Linked DNA regions of Danio rerio. The protein of the gene in region 1 interacts with the protein of each later gene in a biochemical or structural test. Links are inferred from orthologs where the notes say so. Each region holds a gene or a part of one and is shown on either strand. Other genes may lie near its edges. The genes, in order: slx4 and eme1.

Evidence for each region.
Region 2: the proteins of slx4 (region 1) and eme1 form a complex in vitro, tested with the Homo sapiens proteins (3 studies listed by BioGRID, with this or other methods). The link is inferred for Danio rerio from reciprocal best matches to the Homo sapiens genes SLX4 and EME1.

Annotation. Positions count from the first base shown.
Region 1 is NC_133197.1:27,513,433-27,517,341, reverse strand, and holds the start of slx4 (structure-specific endonuclease subunit SLX4), read right to left. Parts: upstream 3,118-3,909; 5' UTR 2,880-3,117; intron 2,844-2,879; exon of another isoform or gene 2,676-2,843; intron 2,244-2,675; 5' UTR 2,222-2,243; coding exon 1,843-2,221; intron 1-1,842. UniProt on the Homo sapiens protein: Regulatory subunit that interacts with and increases the activity of different structure-specific endonucleases.
Region 2 is NC_133187.1:23,440,987-23,444,926, reverse strand, and holds the start of eme1 (crossover junction endonuclease EME1), read left to right. Parts: upstream 1-1,160; 5' UTR 1,161-1,312; intron 1,313-3,940. UniProt on the Homo sapiens protein: Non-catalytic subunit of the structure-specific, heterodimeric DNA endonuclease MUS81-EME1 which is involved in the maintenance of genome stability. In the complex, EME1 is required for DNA cleavage, participating in DNA recognition and bending.

The DNA.
Region 1 (3,909 bases):
ACCATCAACTACTCTTAAATACAAATGGTTTGTAAATTATGCGATACTGAATTTAGACATGAAAAATCAACCAGTCACAAATTATGAAGGTACAATTATTAAGAAAATTATAAATGTGCTCATGAGTCAAGAATAGAGCATGTTTATCTGCAGTTATAAACTGATTACTGATATCAATTAATGTAGAGTTAATGCTTAACAAATAATGAATTTACTATATGCTAATGCTTAAGTGATTCATAGTGTGTAATTATTATTTTTTTTACTGACCCCACTGACAGATAATTTAACTTTTTCTGGAGTTGAAAACAAAACAATATTTTCACTTGATTAATAATTTTTTGATATTTGAAGTAGAAACGAGACAAAGCAATGTAAGAAAAGCATTTATCTGTATTGCGATTATTCAATTTCTGTACCTGAATAATACACTTAAGACAAACTAGCATCAAACTATCTTATGAGACTCTTCATATCACAATATTTATTGCAGAAAAGTAAAATAATGCAATTTTAGATTTTTTCCAATATCATGCAGCCCTAATAGCCATGTTTTGTAAAATCTGTCCAATTATGGAGTCTAAATATGAATTCATACCTGTGAAGAGTTTCACTAACACAAACTGTGTGATGACGTGAGGTTAAATTAAAAACTGAATGATTTATTTAACTGATTTTAATGTATGGCAGTATAACAATTTATTATTACTTAATTTAACAAATAATTTCAATAAAAACACTTATTATAAAGCCATTCTTTTGCAACAAAACATAAACAATTAATACTATTAAATTTCATACAAGTTAAGAAATAACTCACTGATTCAGCTGAAATTTTAACAGATGTCCTTTGCTTTAGGACTTTACGGATGTACTTTTTTTTTTTTTTACATAAATGTAGTATAACTGTTGTATGTCAGATGAATGTAAATAAGCTATGCTATATAAATCTATCTGATAGTCAGGCCTTAAATACCTATCAAGCAGTGCATCTAATTAATTTATTATATATATATATATATATATATATATATATATATATATATATATATATATATATATTTTTTTTTTTTTTTTTTTTTTAAAGACAAAATGTATAATGTATACCAGGGGTGGCCAACCCTGTTCCTGGAGAGCCACCTTCCTGCAGATTTCAGTTACAACCCATATCAAACACACCTGCCTGTAAGTATCACATGGTGTTCAGGTCCTAATTAATTGGTTCAGGTGTGTTTGATATGGGTTGCTTGCAACTGAAATCTGCAGCAAGGTGGTTCTCCAGGAACAGGGTTGGCCACACTTAATGTATATTTTGCTAGGGCTCATTGTTATTCTGTAAGAAAGCATTTAATCTGTGCAAGTTAATCCACTGAAACTACACGTTTGCAATCTTCAATCAAAATCTGAACAGCTATTAAAACATTAGACATGATCAAAACCTTTAACTTCATTACTTCTGATCTGCACTACCTTGTGTAATGTCGAAAAAGTTAATCTCTTTATTAAAGTTAAAGTGATAGTTCACCCAAAACTCTAAATTCTGTCATTATTCACTCACCTTTCCTTATTCCAAACCTGTTTGACTAACTTTCTTCTGTTGATAAGAAAAGAAGATATTTTGAAGAACGCTGAGAATCTGTAACCATTAACTTCCATAGTGTTAGTTTTTCCTAATATGCAAGTAAATGGTTACATGTTTCCAACATTCTTCAAAATATCTTCTTTTGTGTTTAACAGAAAAAGGAAACACATAAAGATTTAAAACCACTTGTAAACTTTGAGTAAACTTTCGTTTTTTTGGTGAACTCTCCCTTAAAGATTAAGACTGACTGGTCACCGTACCTGTGTGCTGGACCCCATCAGGAGCGTCACAGTTCCCATCTGTCTCAGCATGTAAAAGTCTCTCTGGACTGGCTCTCTTAAACTGCTGCATTCTCCGGATCACAGCATCTTTCACCTTCCCCGTGGCAGACACACCAGAGTCAGCCTGAGGAGCACCAGCAGACACCGCAGTCTGACTCCTGCCGTTCAGCTGAGTCTTTACCGCATCTTTAGTCCTCTTTCTTCTCTTAGGCGGGTTTCTTCCAGATGACGGAGAGGATGGTTCTTCATCCTTGGTTGCTGATCGTTTCTCATCTCCAGATTCTGCTGGTCCTTTCCTTCGTACCCTTTTGAGGAGCCGCGAGCAGAGGTCTTTGAAGTCCTGGTCCGAGTCGTCCATGATAAGCTACTACATGCATGATCTGTCAAATGTGTAAAAGGGATAGTTCACTTAAAAAATTAAACTTACTTTCAATTTCCTCAACCTCAAGTGGTTATAAACCTTTACGGCCACACTTTATTTTGATGGTCCATTTGTTGACTTTTAGTTACATTGCATCTACATGCCAACTAATTCTCATTAGATTATAAGCAGACTGTTAGGTTAGAGTTAGTGTAAGTTGACATGTACTTGCAAAGTTTCTTATAGTCAGTTAAATGTCTGTTGAAGGAGCAGTATCAACAGATATCAAGCAGACAGTCTACTAATACTCAAATGAAAAGTGAGTATTTATTTTGACCATCAAAATAAAGTGTTACACTTTACTAGTTTCTTCTGCTGAACAATATATATATTGAAGAATGTTTGACACCTGTAACCATTTACTAACACAGTAGGATAAAGAAATTACGTTACTGATGTTTAACAGAGGAAACTCATAGCTTTTAAATAACGACATCTTTTTTGTTTTCGGATAAACTATCCCATTACGTTAACTATTACGTGAATTATTTTACGAATGACATACATTAAGAGTATCTTCTAAAAACAGCATGTGCATCAAGACCAAGGAGAGTTGTAGGTAAAGAAATAACGTTACATATTTACAGTACATTACCTTTGTTTACATTTTACTGTCCACTATTCGAACGGAATTATGTCGGTTGACGTACATTTAACGCGATTTACTTGATAACAACTTAAATATAGACCATTATTAAGGCGAACGTCATGTTATGTATTTAACATGAATAATTGTATGTTAAAAAACAACGATTTTTACATTAAAATGTGCCGCAGCTACCGATAACGTTCAAACTGCAGTGCCGCAGTCGCCCGCCGCCGTCTACTTCCTGTGACGTATGTGTACGCGTTGACGTAAGGGCCGCGTCTGTTGCGAAACATCTCCGAGTCATGTGATATAACTTATAAAACGAAGTTGCTAAAAAGATGATACGCACTTAAAAACGTAGTGAATAACTAGAGTTTCCTTCTAATATATGATGTATTAATATATATAACATTTCTATTTTATTCTAAGTAACATATTACAATTCGAGCGCATTAGCAAACAATAATAAATGTATTAGTGGGCATAAACAATGTGTTTTACATCGTGTTTATAGTGTTAAAAATGGTTCATTGCGCTCATGTTAGTTTTATTTGAACATTACCACATGCCCGTAGTCGGGGGTGGTTCGAACGTAACATGAGGGCAAGTCAAAACAGTTATAATAATAACTTATTATTATTATTATTATCAATGTGTATTTTATGTTTGTTAGTAGCTTGTTTACGGTGGTAATTGCCCTCTAATATTCAAGTGTAAATTTGTCTTTTGATTTAGCTTAATCAGTGGTTCTCAAACTTTTTCATCAAGTAGGCCTACCACCTCAGAAAAAATTGTCTCTTCAAGTCCCACCAAAATGAGCAGTATTGAAATACAGGAGCGTGGTTGGCCCAGTTACAACTCTGCACAGTTAAAAAAACGTGGCAGATTACCTCAGAAATACAGGCCATATGTAATTTATGACATATTATATACATAATTTTTGATAAATTTTGAAATGTGTGTAGCATGTACATGGCATATTTCATTTCTCCATGTACCACTAGTGGTACACGGAACAGTTTGAGAACCTTTGGCT
Region 2 (3,940 bases), on another chromosome or scaffold:
AAAACTAATTCATGTTAGTGAGTATAATGTACATTTATACACTTATATATTTATACACTAAGGTAGTGTTTCCAACTCTTCCTAATCAAACACACTTGAATCAACTTATTAGAACATAAGAAGAGACTCCAAAACCTGAAGTTAATGGGTCAGAGACATTCAAAATATGTACTGTTGGTTTGTCTCCATAAACAGGGTTGGGAAACACTGCACTAAGCAGTAGTCAGAAATTATTATTGTGTCAACAATCTCTTTCGGCAATTTATTTTGAAGTGGAAATAAAAACAGGATGTCTTATCTTTGACACATGTGTAAAATGCAAAAATAACAGCAAAATACTGTAATGTATTAAAAACATCTTACATGAGCTCCGGGATGCCAGCGCATTAAACCCTTGCGTTGTGTTGCGAGGATGTTGCCTGCATGTACAAAGTTCCCTTAAAAGAAGCAAAAAATATATTAAAAAAAAGGAAAAAGAAAATGAATTATAAAAACACATGTATACAAAGACTAGCAGTAGTAAAATAGTACACAAAATCATGTTATGGTTTTAATATCCTATCAAGGTCAACAGACAAAAAGAAAATACCATCTTGTTTTTTGTAGCCGTATCTGCGACCAGAACTTTTTCCTCCAAGGTTTTTGCTGCTCCCTCCTGACTTTTTTGAAGCAAACCTTGCCAGTACAACAGTGGGCGTTTCACTGAACAGAATACCTGCAATGAAAAATAGCATCTAAATATGTGCAACATGCTGGATGACATTCTTCATTGATATCTGTTTGACAGAAATGCTCGTGAACTAAGCATCAATTTAACCTAAGTCTTAAAGATCTAAATGACCATGTACAAAATGAGGCAAATCGGTTAGGTTTAACACTTTGTTTAATGTTGATGTTGCAGTCAACACATGCTCAAATTGCAAATGATGTCTTAGCATGCCACTGTCAACTCACAGTCATTTCTGATCCCAGAAGAAAAAGCAGTCCGCTATTATTACGTCATCAGTTATTATTCAAATCATGTACACAGTACATGATACAATCCTAAAATAAAATAAAAAAACATGACATTTTACTTACATGATTTGGATCTCAACAGCAAGGACATGAGCGCCGCCATCTTAGATGACGTAAACGTGACGCAACGGGCGCGTTCCCGTGATCCTTCAGGGCCCGCGAACCGCAGAATTTGGCTGGGGTGAGTAGAGAGAGACACAAACAAAGTTCGCGAATGTTACATTTTTACAGCTTGAATAGATGATTTGAGAAGATCTGGAGTTGTAAGAGCAGTTGTACCTCTTCAATGCATATGGTTTGTGTTCTCAAGTTGGAAACGTTTGTTCTATGCTGCCTTTCTGTTCGTGTATGCCAATGTAAATTTGTCTGAAGTCATATCTGACGGTTCTTTTCATGTTTATGGCTGAATATTGCAAAGCCCGCACTGTTTTACTTATCCTGGTTTAATATCCTGTGTCGACCAAATAATCTTTTTAAAATTTTGTTGAATTAATCATATTTCCTTGATAAACCAGTAAAACATTCCACAGAGTGGACTGCTTAACTGGTGTTATCAGTCTCTCTAATATGATTCCGAATCTGCAATAAGTCAATTATAATAAGTTAAAGTTGATTTGATATTTGCACATTCAGACTTTCTCTTTAATAATATAACTTCAGAAAAGTATTCTTTGCAAACTCTAAACAGTGAAATCATATTAGCAGCCCGTGGCTATTAAAGTATATTATTCACAGTCAGTTAAATAGTGCTAATGGTATTTCAGAGCCAATATGTACAGTAGCCTGTCGCAAGTTGTCACTGACTCACTGTCCCAAAATGAACAAATGTACGAATACAAAAACAAATTTACCTCAATGTCAATTATAAGTTGCCTAGCTTGGTCAGGTTATGTTGAAACTAAGACTTGTGGTAAATGATTCACAGTTCTAATCGGCTAGCAATAGTGTGTGTGGTAATCTGTTTTGAAGTAATTATGCAAAAAAAAAAAAATTAAAAAACAATTATGATTTATACATATTATGAATGTTTAAAATGTTGCTGAAAATGTATTCAAACATTTATAATATACTATTATTATTTTTTATTAGTATTTAAGACTGTTTTTGTTTACCTGAATAAGATTAAAAAATAATTATATATATATAATATATATGTCTATATGTCTGTGCACTTTACCGCTAGGCTATTGGCACTGACCTGAATAAGATTTTTGCTATAAATAAAATGCTGTAACATTTAAAGTGCAGTGCAGTATTTTAACAAATTATAAATGTACTTACTTATTTATTTATTTATTTATTTATTATTATCATTAAAAAACATATATTATTAAACCATATCATGCAATACATATAGTGTGGCACATTCCATCTTGCAATTTGTCTACATTAGGATAAATTAAGGGAATTTACAGTGCTCCGCATATATGAGTACACACAAATATCTCATTTAAATATTTTCTTTAGGATTTGCAATATTATATTTGTGGATATACATTAGTTTAGTCAGTACTGAACCCAAATGTGGAGCCTAACTAACAAAATAACAAAAATAAATAATAAAAATAAACAAAATAAAAATCTGTAGCCCAAATTTATATGTTAGTGAAAATATTAAATACATTTTTTCAAAAATATCAATAATCAAGATTTTTGCTGAAATGTTTTTGTCATAAATCTTTTTTGCAATATTTAGCTTGAATTTAATTGTATTATCTTTCCATTTCTAAAGATGTTATGTGAATAAAATATTATTTTAATAAACATATCTGTTTAATAAAAAAGCTCTTTTTGACAAATGAGTTAAACTAGTAATTTGGATGGTAAAAGTACAAAAATGTAAAATTACAATCAATTGGTATTTTGCAACCGAACTTTGAGTCTTTTAACATGTCAACAAATGATTCTTGTCTAAACATGCCTGATAAGATTTTTAGGCTATGTAAGTAGGGCAGTGCGTTTTTTCTCATTTTTTCTTTTTTTTTGACAGATATTGTGATTTTATTTACGATTTAATTTTGTAGTTAAGCTTCAGTTTAATAATCTGTAAACCGTGGCAACAATTCTGCGACATATCTTAAAAATGACCTGTTTTTGTTTGGTGTTTGACGTTGAGACCAAAATATTCCCATATTACAACAGCAGCAGAAGCCATAATCCCACTTGTCAGCGCTTTTCTGTTGTTTGTTTTTTTATTTTTGATTGTGGGCTGAGTTCGGTTGTGCAATTCTGATTGGCCAGAACGAAAGTGTGCTCACTCATTTGGCTAGTAAGGCTGTCACACACAGCCAGTGTTCTGTCGATTTGTCAGACCTTGACACATGACGCATTATGCTACCCATCAGATTTTGCTACCAGTGTACATTTTAATGTGGATTAGTGTAATATGAAGTTGTAATATCGCCCTAACCTACCTAAACCCCAACCCCAACCCCAACCTCAAAGCCATTAAAATACAGTGTTGGTAGCATAATCTGATGGGTAGGATAAAATGTCAGAATTTGCTCTGGGTGAAGGAGATTAACTTAACTATATTAACTATATATATATATATATATATATATATATATATATATATATATATATATATATATATATATATATATATATACATATATATATATATATATATATATATATATATATATATATATATATGTTTTTTTTTTTTTTATTGCAGCCTCTTGCGATTAACTAATCGTGATGTTTCAAATTGCAATTCAATTTCAATTAATCCCACAGCCCTATATGTATAAATTGTACCCTGAATGCCAATTAGAGGGTGTCTTATGGTTAATATTTTTATTCTTAAAAAGTAAATTAAAAACAGGACACATTCTAATGGAGAGATTTTAGCTAAATTAGAAAATAAGTATTGTTAAGGCTGCTAGATAATAAACATTTTACTCTAACTTTTCTGTCA